Mus musculus: one gene and its partners. The protein of the gene in region 2 binds, or shares a complex with, the protein of the main gene of each other region. Links are inferred from orthologs where the notes say so. Each region holds a gene or a part of one and is shown on either strand. Other genes may lie near its edges.

What was found. The genes of interacting proteins can lie anywhere in the genome.
Region 1: Cnot11 (region 2) and Cnot8 share a complex: the UniProt entries of both Homo sapiens proteins name them as parts of the CCR4-NOT complex. The link is inferred for Mus musculus from reciprocal best matches to the Homo sapiens genes CNOT11 and CNOT8.
Region 3: Cnot11 (region 2) and Cnot7 share a complex: the UniProt entries of both Homo sapiens proteins name them as parts of the CCR4-NOT complex. The link is inferred for Mus musculus from reciprocal best matches to the Homo sapiens genes CNOT11 and CNOT7.

The regions. Positions count from the first base shown.
Region 1 is NC_000077.6:58,108,972-58,113,969, reverse strand, and holds part of Cnot8 (CCR4-NOT transcription complex subunit 8), read right to left. Parts: intron 4,415-4,998; 5' UTR 4,321-4,414; coding exon 4,204-4,320; intron 2,711-4,203; coding exon 2,517-2,710; intron 919-2,516; coding exon 757-918; intron 21-756; coding exon 1-20. UniProt on the Homo sapiens protein: Has 3'-5' poly(A) exoribonuclease activity for synthetic poly(A) RNA substrate. Its function seems to be partially redundant with that of CNOT7.
Region 2 is NC_000067.6:39,533,364-39,540,342, reverse strand, and holds the start of Cnot11 (CCR4-NOT transcription complex subunit 11), read right to left. Parts: upstream 4,643-6,979; 5' UTR 4,505-4,642; coding exon 4,006-4,504; intron 2,928-4,005; coding exon 2,763-2,927; intron 2,073-2,762; coding exon 1,920-2,072; intron 471-1,919; coding exon 268-470; intron 1-267. UniProt on the Homo sapiens protein: Component of the CCR4-NOT complex which is one of the major cellular mRNA deadenylases and is linked to various cellular processes including bulk mRNA degradation, miRNA-mediated repression, translational repression during translational initiation and general transcription regulation.
Region 3 is NC_000074.6:40,494,755-40,499,752, forward strand, and holds part of Cnot7 (CCR4-NOT transcription complex subunit 7), read right to left. Parts: intron 4,686-4,998; coding exon 4,541-4,685; intron 1,162-4,540; coding exon 1,051-1,161; exon of another isoform or gene 942-1,050; intron 1-941. UniProt on the Homo sapiens protein: Has 3'-5' poly(A) exoribonuclease activity for synthetic poly(A) RNA substrate. Its function seems to be partially redundant with that of CNOT8.

The DNA of each region.
Region 1 (4,998 bases), on a different chromosome or scaffold from region 2:
TGTAGCCAAAATCATAACCACTAAAGGAGGAATAAAGCAGATGTCTGAAAGCAGCCTCAGTCCAGCCTTAAACCACCACCTCAGGCTGGGGGCTGGGCCTCTCAAAGAGCACTGATGATCTCAGCTTTACATTCAGTGAGGAAATTTACATAAGGAAAGCTACGATGAGAAACACACAAGAACCTGAGAGTTTGTGTGAATTTGATTAATCAAAACTCAAAAGTAAAGCCGTAAGAGCCCAGGAGAAGGGTCACCTAAAGAGAAATTTTGAATCAGAGTTCCAATCCCAGCACCCAGGTCAGACAGCTCACAAATGCCTGTAAGTCTACCTGCAATGGCCCAGCATCCTCTTTTGGCTCCCTAGGTACTCACACACATACCTATACATACCACACACACACATACCCTTTAAAAATAAACACCTTCCAAAAAGTATTTAAAGAATATCTGTATTTGAGGACATTTCAAAGGACAAGCCACACCAGGCTGAAAATAACCGAGCCCACAGCAGCCTCCATCCACCTGGAAGACAGCACTGCACAGCCACTACAGCACTGCAGGTCAAGTGATGCAAAGCCCATGTGCGTGTTCACGTGCTCCCAAACACTACACAGGAACACCAACACCACCTCACTGCTGCTTCCAAAAAGCCAGGAGGACTCAAATCAACAAGAATTTAGTTCCTCCCCAGTGCAGCCTACAGTCAGAAGGGCGAAGCTATGCTGAAGAGACAGGCCACAGTTCCCGTGGACTGACCTGTGAAATGAAAGCCACTTGACGTTGTCACAGAGAACCACTCCCGATGTCATAAGCAGCTCTGCAAAGTGCAGTGTATCGATCCCTTCCTCCTCGTGTTTCTGGAACTGCAGCCCTGAGTTTGCAAGCAGATCTATGGAATCCTGGGAGTACATATCCTCTCTGAAAAACAAGGTGTCACTATGAGCTGGCGGCAGTGAGACCAAAGCAGGAGAGATGTTATGGTTAGCTTATGATTCGGAAACACAGAACTCCTGAAACACTCCAAAAACCAGCAGATTTGTATTTCCTAATTACAGAAAACCTATATTCTCTTGCTTAAAATTGTGTTTTATGTAAATGAATGAGTTAAACAATTGTGAGCCCAGCTCTGGGAATTGAGCTCAGATCTTTTGGAGGGGCAGCCGGTGTCCTAACCATTGAGCCACACATTTTTTTTATGCTGTTTTTCATCTTTTTTAAATATTTATTTATTTATGTATATGGATGTTTGTCTGTATATTTGCACACCAGAAGAGGGCATTCAGGCCCATCACAGACAGAGAGTGCCCACGTGGCTGCTGGGAACTGAACTCAGGAGCTCTGGAAGAACAACCTGGGCTTTTAACCACTGAACTATCATCTATGCGGCCTTTGGTTTTTTTAATTTTTAATCATATTTACACTTCTTTATATTATTTACAGTAGAATTTAACAAAACAAACTTGAGACAGAACTAACCCTGAAGTTTACTTATTACGGATGGTTGCGAGCCACCATGTGGTTGCTGGGATTTGAACTCAGGACCTTTGGAAGAGCAGTCGGCGCTCTTAACCACTGAGCCATCTCTCCAGCCCCTGAAGTTTATTTATAAAACAAACAAAAGGCAGGGCTGGAGATGAGGCTCAGCACTACGAGTTCTTGCTGCCGTGACAGAAGACCCAGGCTTAGCTCCCAACCATCCGTACTACCAGTCCCAGGGATCTGCTAACTGCTGTGGACACCAGGCACATACATGATGGACAGATATACATGCAGGCAAAACATTAATACACAAAATAACAGTTAAGGTCAGGCGTGGTGGCGCATGCCTTTAATCCCAGCACTCAGGAGACAGAGGCAGGAGGATTTCTGAATTCAAGGCCAGCCTGGTCTACAAAGTGAGTTCCAGGACAGCCAGGGCTACACAGAAAAATCCTGTCTCAAAAACAAAAAAACAAAACAAAACAAAAAAAAACAGTTAAAAATCTTGGGCTGGGGGCTGGAGAGCTGGCTCAGCGGTTAAAAGCACCGACTGCTTCCAGAGGTCCTGAGTTCAACTCCCAGCAACCACACGGTGGCTCAAAACCATCTGTACAGGGATTTGATGCCCTCTTCTGGTGTGTCTTAAGACAGCTACAGTGTACTCACATACATACATAAAAGATAAATAAATCTTTTAAAAAAAAGAAAAAAGAGCTGGGCGTGGTCGCACACGCCTTTAATCCCAGCACTTGGGAGGCAGAGGCAGGCAGATTTCTGAGACCGCCTGGTCTCTGGCCAGCCTGGTCTCCAGAGTGAGTTCCAGGACAGCCAGGACTACACCCTGTCTTGAAAAACCAAAAAAAAAAAAAAAAAAAAAAAAGATAGCAAGTTTCAGGACACTCAGAGCAACATAATAGAGAGAAACCATGTCTCCTCCCACCTCAATCCCAAAAACCACATGATTAGTAAAGCTTACAGCAACCAGCCCACTCAAACTCAGCTGTCTAGTAACACTGAGGGTCTCCCAAGACACTCACGTCAGGTTGAACTTGAAGTTGAACTGCCATGTGTTGATTCCAGACGGGTACTCCCCCTTCTCATTGGTGAACGTAAGGCCCAGCTGGATGATTTTAAGAAGATCAACATTGCACCGCAGAAGCTGATACTGGTAATCTATGGAGCTTCGAAATTCACCGATCGGCCGTACAACAACACCTGGGAACTCTGTGTCCTAGGAACAAAAGCCTCTTACCATTAAGCCTCAGCAAACAGTGGTGCTCAGCAACCCATGAGCAAAATTGCTCTTCAGTTTACAGAAGCCCAAGATAAGCTCCCAAGGTCTAGAACACAACAGAACCCAGACAGGTGAATGGGTGACTAGAGGGAGCTGCGCTCAGGTAGGAACGTCTTTTTTCACTTATTCATTTACTTCAAGTGCACTGGTGGCATGTGTGTCTGTAGGAGAGGGTCAAATCCCCTGGAAGTGGAGTTACAGACAGTTGTGAGCTATCATATGGGTGCTGTGAATTGAACCATGGTCCTCAGGAAGAACAAGTGCCCTCGACTGCTGAGCCATCTCTCTAGCCTTCAGATAGGACCTTCCAATATGAGTTAAATACAAATACAGCCAAGTAGATGGGGTGGCTCACAGGGGCTTCGCTCCATCCCATCAGCTTCTTGGTGTGACGTATACTTGAAAGAGAAGCCCGGCTCATGGCCTGCTGTTCAGAGCTCCCACCTTGGTCTAATGTTTTTATAAAGGACAAATGCAGCCTTCCTCTTTCCTGAGTGACTATTTCACTGCCGTGTGTACATAAAACCCTTTTATACCCTTGTAAAGCTCAGACTGGCCTATACTCATTGATCTTGAACTCCTGACCCCACACCCTCACCCCCAGTGTTTGGGATGACAGGATCTTAACCTGCTGGGAGAGCTTGTAAGGCTAGTGCCTCTTATGGACAGAGGAGTGAAAGCAGGGTTTGAATACAGACAGTGGCAAGCTCCAAGCCTGGAGTAAAACAGAGCACCTGCGTGCTCAGGGGCTGGCCTAAGAAGAGTGCCACCTAACCCGCCATTGGGCAGGAAAATAAGCCACACAGTACCAGTCCTTCCCACTTTACCCAGAGACACCAGATCTGCAATGTGACATCTCCTGCCTTTTTTGTGCTAGCAATAAAATGTTTGAATATTTTGAAAACATAGGCTGGGCATGTTGGTACATGCCTATCTTCCTAGCACTTGGGAGATAGAGGCAGGAGGATCAGAAAGTCAAGTCGTCCTCTTGAAATATGCCTGTTACATGAAACCCTGTCTCCAAATTTTAAAAAATTAATAAGTACCACATGCTCAAATTCCCATGTGTGAGGAGATATACCCAAAGGGGCTGAGGTAGGTCAGACACTAGAGCACTTCCCAGCACCACACATACTGGGCACAATGGGGCAACCATAGCTCAGCACCAAGAAGGCAGAAGCAGGAGGATAAGCACAAGGCCTGCCTGGACTACCCAGCAAGTGCTGGGCTAGCCAGGGCTTACATATCCAGATCCTATCTAAATAAACAAAAATAAAAATATAAAAGACTTTCCATCAGAGGAACACATTACAAAAACTTGTGTCAGAAGCTATGCCCTCCTCAGAGACACTAGCTGCCTTGATTCACAAAAGCAATTAGGTTTCCATCAGTCTAACCTTCCCTGGCTTTGGTGGGGAGGGCCTACTCACCATAGCGATATAGCTGTAGCTGAGGACAATCTCACGGATCTTCCGCATCTCTTCCTCAAGATTGCTGGCCCACACCTCACAGATGACCTGACTGTTTTCTACAAGTGCCGCAGGCATCCTGAAGGCACCTGAGGAGCCACCGTGAGCCAACTATGTAAAAAAACAAACAAGCCTCCTTCTGTTTGATTTAATTGTCCACACTGGATCCAATCTAGATATAAAGACAGTTTGAAATCACATTAAGTTTACATGGTGGTATAAGATATCTACAAATCAAACACATTAAAATTGTATTTTAGTCAGATACGTGACCCAGACACATGATCCTAACACTCAGGAGGCCAAGGTAGAAGGAGGGAGACCAGCGTGGACTGCATACTGAGTCCATTTAAGGTCAACCAGGGCTACCTAGCAAGACCCTATCTGAAAACACACACAAACCAGAGTTTTACCATAACTTCATTAACAGTCAGTGCACTCAGCATCCACTACCTATGGAGTGCTTACACTTGCCTTTGTCAAGTTTGTTCTCTCTTGATACAAACAAAACCCTACCTGTTGACCCGAATCCTTAACATGACATTAAAAATGGCAAGTTACTGGGCTAGAGAGATGGCTCAGTGGTTAAGAGCACCACTGCTCTTCCAGAGGTCCTGAGTTCAATTCCCAGCAACCACATGGTGGCTCACAAACATCTGTAATGGGATCTGATGCCCTCTTCTGATGTGTCTGAAGACAGCAACAGCGTACTCATATACATCAAATAAATAAATAAATCTTTTAAAAAAAAAAAGG
Region 2 (6,979 bases):
GTGCTGCCAACTCATCCTAGCCTACCTCTCTCCGAGACAAACTGAATAGAGTCTAGTCATCATTAGGCCTCTTGTCTCATCAGAGCAAAACTGTCAACAAGGAAAGGTCAGAGCACAGCAGCTGGGATTGTGAAGCCCTCTGATGCTACTTCTGCTGGCTCACATCCACAACTGACTGCTCACTTACTGCTTCCTGGGAAGAACACCCTGTGATAGGCACAGACAGGACACTGTAATAAAAACATACATACATACATACATACATACCTGTGTCTGTTGGGGAGACGACAGGGGGCTTTTGAAGGCTTTCGCCATGATCCGCTTGATCTCCACACCAGTGCTATTCTTCACACACATCGATCTGTCCCACTGGATGGCATGCTCGGGTTCTGTGGGATTTAGCCAGGCCAGTTCATCCTCACAGATGTGGAGAGGGGGTGGTGGGCGGATAAACTCTGGTCGAAAGTGGCCTATAATGAGAGTAACACATGACTGTCGGTGAGCTAACATTTGCACACACCCTATATGCATTTAATGAAGTACAAGGGTACCTTTAACAAGGACATGTGATAAGACATACTTCAAACAGTAATGCTATAAAAATCAGAGTTCCACGCTCAAATGACAACCGAGAACACGTGACCCCCCCCCAACACACACACCATCAGCATGATGCCAATACAAGTCTGTTTTTCAGAAAGAGGAAAACATGAACATGAACTGAGTTTTAATGCAAGCATAGCCACTTAGGCTGAGGATGCAGGTGTCAAATATGCAGATGCAGATGATGATGACGACAAGATAATGATGATGGTTGTTTTCTTAAAATCTCCTTTATGTCCTCAGGTGTCCTGGAATTCACTCTGTAGACCAGGCTACCCTCAAACTCACAGAGATCTGCTTGCCTCTACTTCCCGAGAGTTGGGATTAAAGGTATTTCTCATCGCAGTTAACATATAACTAAAATTTTATGAGTTTTTCCCCCTTAACTTTCTTTTTGTGGACCCTAGGACACCTCAGAATACTAAACAGAGTTCTTGGGGCTATCCCCACAATTCAAGGTTGATGTGTAAGTTATCAATTATTGACACACTAAAGTAAACTAGTTAGTACTTCTGAACTAACATCATACTTCATTTGGTTGCTCCACAGCTGAAAAGCCCAGAAAGAAAGGCTAAAGCCTCAACAATCACAACCACACAGCTTGCCCCCAGTGGCTTATTATGTTCTTGTATAAACACTTGCACCCTAACTCCAGTGACCCACAGTGCTATGCCCAAATGACCACTCTCAAGAAAGACAACGTATACTTTATATCTCAGTACTTAACAAGACAGACACCCAGCTGTCTATCCAGCTGTGGGCTCCACCTGCCTGCTAAGCCCCACAAAAGCCCAGGAGATGAAAACTTAGTAATTTCCACTAAACTGGGACACACGAGCTCCCACTCCTCTCCGCTGCCTCTGGTGTACAGCAGGAAGTTCTCTCTGTCCTGAGAGCAGATCTTACCCAGTCCATCACTAGCCTTCCAGAGAGCACTTCCCACAGAGGACAGAGGTGGGTGGCTGGATTATGGATCCTACTCTCAGCCGAGGATGACCAGGACTCTAAGGTCATCCTCAGCTACACAGGAAATTTCTAGACTACTCTGCGCTACATGAGACTATCTCATTAAAACAAACACAGTCATTTTGGTAAAACCTGAATTTTTATCTGCAGGCATGTGTGTGTGTGTGTGTGGGGGGGTGTACATCAAATAAGCAATAAACATCCTAGTGTATAACTAGCTGGTGTCTGTGTCTGCTATATTCTAGACAGCAAGGCAGTTAGTCTGTCATCAGGTACTGTAAGAAACGTAGAATTCCCGAGTGCTGCTAGAGTACAACCCTGAGAACATGAACTAAGCCCCATATACCTACTTTCAATAGGTGGCTTTGGGCCACTGACTAAAGACTCTGTGATCCGAGAGGCAACTGAGCTGTCAAATCCAGAGTTGGACGAGTCCGGGTCTGGGTCACTGAGGATGCTTGGGAAGCTGGCTTTGCTCTGGGTTGGCAGCTCAGACTGACGCTCTGGAACAGATTCAGACAAGAAGCATTCAAAGCATTTAAGCTAGACCTTGTAATGCCAGCACCTGGAAGGCGGAGACGAGAGTCAAGAACCCAAGGCCAGCCTGGGGGGCAGGGGGAGGGGCAGGGTGGCACAGAACATTTTAAAATTGAGAACATCGTGAACAGATCAGGAGTTCAAAGTAAATATCTTTAATCCCTATAAACCAAACAATAATAATATTAAAATAACTCCAAAAGAGAACATGGAGTGAGGTGGATGGCAGGGAGGGAGGTGCGGGGCAGAGACCAGGCTGGGTGTCAATCAGAAGCACAGAATAAGGAAACAGAAAAGAGAGTGGAGGAGGTGCTGGGGTACAAGGGTGTGATCTGGGATGGGGACTGGAGCGGGCCTGGCCTGGGGCTGCGTGCCTGAGTACTCAGAGTCAGCCAGTAAGAGCTCAGTTAGAGGCCAGCATGCTCTACCCAGCTCTTCCAGGACAGCCAAGGCTACACAAAGAAACCTGGTCTCAAAACAAACAAACAAAAGAGGGGGTGGCAGACAGGGAGACAGGGAAAGGACAGGGCAGGGCAGGATGGGAGAGGATCAAACAAAAACAGCAGAAATGTAAATTTAAAAGAAAAAACTTGTTGATTTTAAGCAGGGGATCTCAAGAACCGACAAGAATGTCCCAATCACTGGCCCTCCCTCACCTGCCAGGGCTAACTGAAGGCCGCTAATGTCCACAGACTGTCCCATGTTTCCAACGTCCATCAAGGCAATCTGGCGAGGTGTCTTTTTGAACAGTTCCCTTGGGGGTGCCAGCATGAGCTGGGAGAGGAAAAACTTTTCTGGTGGAGTTATAGGAGGCAGGAACCCTGCAAATAAGAATGCATGCCGGTTTCTCGCCAATGGGTACTGGTAAAGTTTTAAAATTTAACTTTAAAAGTTAACTGGAAACTTTGCTACTTGCCACGTGGAGCTATTCTTATGATCTAAATGTAACTGAGTTCCAGCTGATTGAATATTCACACTTAGTACACATAGTAATCCATAAACAAATATATCGCTTGAGATTCTGTGATCTATGGAAATGTCAATGAAACGTAAGGTTTTAATAGCTGTTGAGAACTTTTTGTTATCAAATACTTAGATTCCTACAAATTTAAACATACTTTAAAAATTATATATATATGTATATGTGTGTGTATATCTATATCTCTATCTCTATCTCTATATCTATATATATGTACATATGTACATGTATGTCAGCCTGTGAGTGGTACAGCTGTCCCAGAGTCCTGGACGAGGCTCATGGTATAGAGGAAGTGACCCTGGGTTCCATCCACAGCACCAAATTTAGGGGCGCATCCTCAGGTGTAATCTATGCCTGATCTTAGCAATGCTGCAAAAGCAAACATTCCACAATACTGCCCAGGACACATGCATCTTTGAATGGTTAATTAGAAACGACTTCATCCTCTCCTCACGCGACATTACAGCTAACCAAGGAGTTGGCTGCAAAGACTTTAGATATTGTGGTGATGTGGACTTCAACCTCAGGTTCTTAATACCGACTTCTTTACTCGGAGGCTTAAAAAGGGGGTAAACTCAGTGCCATTGGCTGTAACTTCGCATACCTCAGGACCTTACAATCAAGAATGAACCGTATCTGGCATACTAAAATATGTCCAGCCCGTTTGTGGGCTTGTACGATGTGTTGGCTTTTTCGATTGGGAGGGATCATCTGGAGTGTAGTGAATTTGAAAAAAAAAAAAAACCAAAAAAACAAAACTTGCAACTTCTATCTCTCCCCTATTTTAGGGAAAGAAAGTATGGAAAAGGAGGGAGGGTCGATCCCCTCCAAGGAGGCTGAATGTCCCTAGCTGACGACCCCCCTCCCACCCCCACCCCAGAACAGCTGGCTGCGCCCGCACGGCTGGCTGCGGGACGTACCTGAGAGCGGGGGCCGGTCGGGCTCCTGGCCGCCGCGGGCGGGCGGCGCCGGGTTGAGCAGGTGCGCGAAGCTGGCCGCGAACGGGTTGGCGGCGAGCGGCTCGGTGCGGTACATCTCCCAGAGCAGGTAGAGCGCCGTGAGGCGCTGCGCCGCGCTAGGCAGCAGGTCCGGCTGCTGCAGCAGCATCACCAGCACCGAGCCCAGGCGGAAGTGGTCGGCCTTGCTGAAGTAGTGGTGGAAGGCGGTGGACAGGCCCTCGAAGGTGCTGCCGCCGCCCGCCTCCTCCGAGATGATGCTCAGCAGGCTCGAGAGCTCCTTCGGGGTCAGGCTCATCCTGCCCGCGGGGCCTCCAATCCCTGGCCCAGGGCCGCCTGCTCCGCCTCGGCCTCCGCTCGAGCCCGCCGGGCCGCTCCGGAACGCCGCTGCCTCCCGCGCCCCTCTGGGATCCGCTGAGGAGAGAAGCCGGCCAGACGCCGTGCTCGCCCCGCCGCCGGGCATCAACCTCGCCCGCCTACCCCGCTTCCCGGCCGAGAGGCCCAAGGCGCCGACTCGCTGCGTCCTCCCGCGGCCGTAAAGCGCACCCTTCCGCGACAGCGTCGCAAACAAAAACAGTGCCTAAGTCAGACGAGCGGAACGGAGACACAGGGCCGACAGACCGACGACGCTGGCCGAGCGGAGGTTCCGGAGACGCGAGTGGGCGGGGCGCCGTGTCCGGAAGGGGGCGGGGCGCCGTGGAGGGCGGGGCCGCGTGGTCTCTGAGCTGTCCGAGTGGTCCTTCCCTGCCTGAGTGATGTAGAGACCGCCGTTAATTGCCCTTAAAGCCCTCAGAAGCGATCCTTGGGTGACAGGGTGGCGCCAAACCTGCCCAGTCAATATTGCCTAAGTTATAATTTGGAAACTAGGTCTTAGATGCTAACTGGTCTGATAGAGCATCCTTGACGGCTCATTTCTTGTAAATACCAATGAAAACAGGATTCTCAGAAACAGTTTAAATTTCGAGCCTTGCTCGTATTCTCAGAGATGGGGTCGTACCGCACATAAACGTTTGGTTATGTGAACAAAAATCTAGGCGAGGCCGGCACCAGGGAGGCAGAGGCAGACGAACCCCTGTGAGTTCGAGGCCAGCCTGGTCTAAAAAGAAAGAAAAAAAAAAATCTGAGAAAACTGTCTCGAGAAATATTCGTTTACAAAATCGTTTGCAGTGCTTCTTTTTCCTTAGCCTGCCCTAGGGCACTTTTTCTGGACGCCTTGGCTGAACACTGGAAAACCCTGGAAATTTCTTTACATACCAGCCTCCTGGACCTGGTCCCCTGTGATCTGTTTCAAAGGCACCGCTGCCCGCTCCCCACCCCTATGCTCCGGTGGTGACTAGTATCCACTCTAGAGTTACAGAAACCGAGCGACTGTCATCAGCGTCACCTGCTAGCTACCCTGTGCTAAAACTCTTCGGCAGCTGAAAGTTTTCTATTTACCGCTGAAGTTCTCAAGGAAATCTTCAGGAACAGGTGATGGGTATGGCGCATATTTTAAAGGCCTCTTTAGTTTACTGTTAAACCTGTGGAGGGGTTCTGCCAATGAACATTGCAATCAGCAGAAAATATAGCTTGCCAAACGGGGCAAATGATTCAAATTACCTCTTCTACTACTACTACTACTACTACTACTACTACTACTACTACTACTACTAATTAGTCAACTATGTTCTCTTTGAGCCTTTTTACATTGGATGCTCTATGACAACTAATCATACTAAAACCCACTCATGCTAGTTATTGTCATAACTTATTGTTAGTTGATAACTTAAATGTTAGTACAGTATGGGTGTTTCGAGATGTTTTAAGGTATTTGAGCACAGCACGTTACCCGCCAATAGAGCTGATTTCCACTAAGATTAATACCAAGAGCGTCTTCCCTGTTTCCACTGGGCTTGTTTCTAGGGTTTCTCTGCCATTACCACAAACTGAGTTCATTTTCACTGTAGAACCCACTTCCTCTCCCTTCCTGAGGCTGAACGTCTGGAATGGGTTATATCAATTCTGCCATTCACCTTTGAAGCATCAAGGGGAGAATTCTTCCAAGTCTTGTTCTAGCTTCCAGTGATATCCAAAGACCCTGGTATCCCTTGGCTTATAGCTGCACCTTTCCTTAATTGTTATTAAGTTTCGAACTGGGACTCCCTGCTGAGATGCATATTAACATATCAAAGCTAACCCGGCAGCCTGTTTTTTTCCCAGCCACCCCCAGTTCCTACCTGACAGGCTATGGCTGGCACACCCCTCTCTCTACCCTGAACTCTGCAGCCTAGAGGGTGGGCTACCCTTCCACTACAGGATCTTCCCTATAGAACCCAGACTTTTTCTTTTAAAAGGATTTATTTATTTTTATGTATATGAGTACACTGTCGCTGTCTTCAGACACACTAGAAGAGGGCATCAGATCTCATTACAAATGGTTGTGAGCCACCATGTGGTCACTGGGAATTGAACTCGGGACCTCTGGAAGAGCAGTCAGTGCTCTTAACCACTGAGACATCTCTCCAGCCCTAAACCCAGAGTCCCAGTTCCTTTTGTACCTTTGGACTCCTGACAGCTGTACATGGTCCCCCCCTTCTCCCCACATGGTCCAGCTTGGTCTAGTCATGTCCACTCTGGATGGTCCTGCCTTTACCCACACTCTCTGATGTATTTATAAAAAGACAAAGACAGGGGAAATATGTTCTATGGGACCAGCCACACACGGGATAGTATAGAATAGAGTTTATTCAGGGCATGGGGAGAGGGGTCAAGAGGGTAGCAGAGGCAGAGAAAGGGGGAGAGGAGAGAGGAGATGAGCGGAGAAAAGAGGAGCGGAGAGGAGGGGAGAAAAGAGGAGCGGAGAGGAGAGGAGAGGGGAGGGAAGGGGAGAGGAGGGGAGAGGAGGGGAGAGGAGGGGAGAGGAGGGGAGAGGAGGGGAGAGGAGAGGAGAGGAGAGGAA
Region 3 (4,998 bases), on a different chromosome or scaffold from region 2:
CAGCCAAGACTAAACAGAGAAACCCTGTCTCAAAAAAACTAAAAAAAAAAAAAAAATCCAAAAGGTGGTCCTATACTGAAACTAAGTTAGTTACGTGAGTGGACAATTCAAATAACTTCTGAATCAATACTACCTGGCAAAACAAGTCAAATGCGTTCTGTCAATAGCATGTTTTTACCAAGAGAATATACTCAAAATAATTCCACAGCAACTATTTCATAAAAATGTGTTTCTGTAGGCACATTTTATATATATATTTGTACCATTTATACCAAACTAAAATAGGACACACACACACAGTGTACCAAAAATAGAATACATGTGTGTGTGTGTGTGTGTGTATATATGTGTGTGTGTGTGTGTGTGTGTGTGGGTATACAATTAAAATTTGTTTATTATTATCAGCAATGAAGTAACCACGACATCTATCACCTAGTTATCTATCCTAAAAACACTCAGTTCCACTACATATCATCCTTCTACTCCTAACAATTTTATACTTGAATTCCTGATAGTTTTGACTCAACTATATGTCAGACTTCAGATTTAATTAATACCTATATATTCAAAAAGCCTTTAAGACTTAGTAAAAACTGTTAAGTTCTACTTTATAAAACCTTTAAAGCAATGAAGAATGACATGAGCAAATCTATTTTCGCCACCAGTTTCTAGAAAAAGAAGGTACGACTCCCTGGCTCGTATGGGGTCTAAGAAAGTTGAGTTCCCTCACTATTACCTTTTTAGCTTAAAAAACAGCATGTTCATATGTACATGATCTCTACAATCACCTAATTTTTTATTCTATAAACAACATATTTCAGTAGAATAAATAATGTTTTTTTATTCTATAAAGAGTTTATTCTATTTCCTTTTGCGTTACATTTCAGGAGGACTTATTTAACATTTTCATTCAAATGTGGTGGATGTAACTTATATAGTACCTCTATTTATATCTTCACTTAGTAGGTTCTTAATGCCCAAAACTTTTGTCATCAGACCTTTAATGTTCTCTACCTAACAACCAAGAAAAAGGCACTGATGTCTTCATACTTCTCTCATTTTGAAAAAGGCCATTCCTGTAAGCAGTGAGTCAGATCCTGCCTGGTGCTGAGGGCCTATGCGCTCCAGCTCTAACTGCTCAGCAACTTCCTGTAATCCACCCTAGAAGGAAGAAAAGTTGCTTGTCAAATAGAGAGGACTTTGGGACTGGAATTCACAATTACAGATTTAGACACTGACAAAAATATGAATACATTTTTAATATGTAAAGATGAACCTTGTAAAGATGGCAAGGGGATTGATAAAATATGAATCTGTAATTTATCTGTGGACTATAAAAGCCTTTTTTTACCAGAATATGAAATTCTAATAGGAAAATTTTATTTTAATTATACATCTTAAGGCAAGTTAAGCATGCCTTAACAACTTTCCAGAGATATGAAGGAAGTAGATCATATTCAGGGTAACAGTAATAAACCATACTCAGTGTCATTAAAAATATCTGCATCCCCTAAAGTATTTAAAACTTAGTAAAACAAAGACAACATGAGTGTTCAGACCACTGTCATTGTCAATCTACCACATAATTTCCATTTTCTCAACTAAAAAGAGAATTTTACAAATATACAACTCTTTTAGAATGGTTGCTCTGATCTGCTTATATTACTATAGCTATGACTGAGAAAAATAACGAGTGTCAAAGGAAAAGAGAAGAAATAGACAGACACAGAACAGACTACCAATCAACTTCCTCCTTAAAATACAAAGCCTTTACTATCCTGTAGTCACATCCTAGCCTGACAGGACTCCTGCCAGCAACGGTTTCTAACATTGTGTGCACCATGCATCCTTGGCAGCTGCTTAGAACACAGCAGCAGACTAGATATGAATGACTGGTAGCACCTTATTGCTAACATACACTTTTAATGTGAGCAGCTCACATAGCACTCAATAAAATATTTGATATTTTTAGATATTTCTGAATATATAGAAGAATAAAAAATTAGGACTCTGTTTCTGAAAACTATCATTATACCAAGCTGTCAATTAAAAAAACAAAATACAGCCGGGCATGGTGGCGCACGCCTTTAATCCCAGCACTCAGGAGGCAGAGGCAGGCGGATTTCTGAGTTCGAGGCCAGCCTGGTCTACAAAGTAAGTTCCAGGACAGCCAGGGCTATACAGAGAAACCCTGTCTTGAAAAACCAAAAATAAATAAATAAATAAAAGAAACCCTGTCTTGAAAAACCAAAAATAAATAAATAAATAACCAAAACAAAACAAAACAAAACAAAACCAAAAACTTCCAGAGCCAGCCAGGTGGGAGCCTTAGATTCTCAGCATGCCACTCATCAGTGTAAGTAGTCAGAATACTCTGCTGGAGTTCACTTATGAGGAAACCTCAAATGACACAGGATTCTGTGACTTTCAACTGACAGTCATGAGATAATCTTTCAAGAAGTTCTCCTAGTTATTTGGCACCACACCTACAACAGTGACAAATTACTTCTGTCCTACAATTCTCAGTAAATTGTTGAAACTAAAGCTTCCACATTATAATTCCTCTATTCTTGCTTAAGAAAAACTATTAAATTCCTTACTGTTTCCTAAAGCAAAGCTCTGTCTGTATTTTTCTAAAACCTAGATAGGGAAAACTTGGCCAACCTTGGTTTTACTGAAGACAGGGACAATATTGGCTACACATACACTTGTTTCCTTAGTTATAACTTAACATATCACACCAAAATCCAGCAACTAAAAACCCACTCAGTGTATTGCCAGGGATCTGTGCCAACTCAGGGGAATTTGCTCTTGAGCCAAAGTAGTACTTTTCTTTAATCAGGAAATGTTTGTTTTGATAAAATTAATGTCCAAAGGTTAAAAATACATGGCTACATATGTTCAGTATTATCAGAATAAGCTACTGTCTATATAGAACCTACACATTTACTATATAGTATTTATGCCTAACCAGTTTTAGCTACGAAAATAACAACATCATACTTTAACAAGAAAGAATAAAGGAGAGTCTCTAGTCAGGATAATCTGAAGGAAAACCACCTTAGAACACTACTGAGTGTCTCTGCCCCCTGCTGGCCAACCCCAATCTGTATGCTTGTGATAGTTCTGTGTGCTGGGAGTATGAGAACCTCTGTAATACAGGGCTCTGTCAGTGTACACCTCACACTTTCATTTCAGTTGATGACCCTCAATCTGGCATCAATAACAAAAACATGGCCCTTAGCTTGGCTTTTGTTAAAAATTTATTCTGGGGACTAAAGAGTTGGCTCAGCAGCTAAGAGCACAGCTGTTGTGGAGGACCAAATTTCAGTTTCTAGCACCCACTAGGTGGCTCACAAGTACCCATAACTCCAGTTCCAGAGGGTCTGACACTCTCTCTTTTAGCCTCTGCTACCTCTTGCTGTAAACTTCCACAGAAGTGAGTGAGAGTGTGTGTATCTTAAATATATATATATTTTTAAAAGATTTATTTTATTATTATATGTAAGTACACTGTAGCTGTCTTCAGACACACCAGAAGAGGGAGTCAGATCTTATTACGGATGGTTGTGAGCCACCATGTGGTTGCTGGGATTTGAACTCTGGACCTTCGGAAGAGCAGTCGGGTGCTCTTACCCACTGAGCCATCTCACCAGCCCTCTTAAATATATTTAATGCAATTAATATATCAACATTATTCTGGGCTGGAAAAATGGCTCAGCAGGTAAGATAACTTGGTTGGAAAGATAGCTCAGCAGGTAAGAGCACTTGCTGTTTTTGCAGAGGACACAGGCTCAGCCCCAACACAGCATGGTGGTTCACAACCATCCATAACTATAATCTAGGAGATGGGATGCCCTCTTCTAACCTCCTCAGACAGCAGGCACACATTTAGTGCATATACACATGCAAGTAAAATACCCACATACATAAAATACAATTTAAAGTATCTACAACAAGACAAAAATCCAACCAAGGAAAACACAAAACCAAAACAAACCTTATCCTGTTAAGATAAATACCGCAGCTTTGAAGAGAGATTGTTTATTAAGAATAGGATCAGATAATTTAACTAACTTTTTTCTTTTTTTTGGAGACAGGGTTTTTCTGTGTAGCCCTGGCTGTCCTGGAACTTATTCTGTAGACCGGGCCAGCCTTGAACTCAGAAATCTGACTGCCTCTGCCTCCTAAGTGCTGGGATTAAAGGCATGCACCACCACTGCCCGGCTTAACATAACTTCTAAAACATGGTTTAAAACATTCAGGCCTAAGATATTATAGAAATTACTTGGTCTAAATTGTGCTTCTCAACCTTCCTAATGCTGCATCCTTTAATACAGCTTTGTTGTGGTGAACCCCAACCATAAAACTATTTTTATCGCTTCTTAACTATGATTTTTCTGTTATGAATCATAATATAAATATTTGTGTTTTCCAATGGTCATAATTGATCCCTGTGAAAGGGTTGTTCAACTTCCAGGTTGAGACTCATTGGGCTAACTAATGTGCTAGTTCCGGATAAAGTCATCTGAAGCCTTACTTTGAGATTTTTGCAGCTCTTCATGAGGTACTTCACATCATAAATGACAGGAAAAAATAACCGAAGGATCTCAAAGAAATCAAGTTCTTCCTCAGGCAAGTTAGAGTTGGTCAGAATTTTGATTAAATAGCCAAAGTCATAACCACTAATAAAAAGATTAAAATAATTCAGAAAAAAATACATTAATACCATACAATGAAAGAAATTAGTTTTTCAGATAGAAAGTTAAACAAGTCATACTATAGGCAAAAGGATTAACAATAACGTACACACAGGAACAATGAAAAGAAACACGTCCATAACTACAGTGCAGAAACTGATCACTCAGCATCTTGAACACATGATAGTATAAATTTAACTCTACAGTCACTAAAATAACATTTTTCTGATATGTAAGCTGGAGAGATGATGTTCAAACATGAGTATTTTTGACCCCCAATACCCAAGTAAAAGCTGAG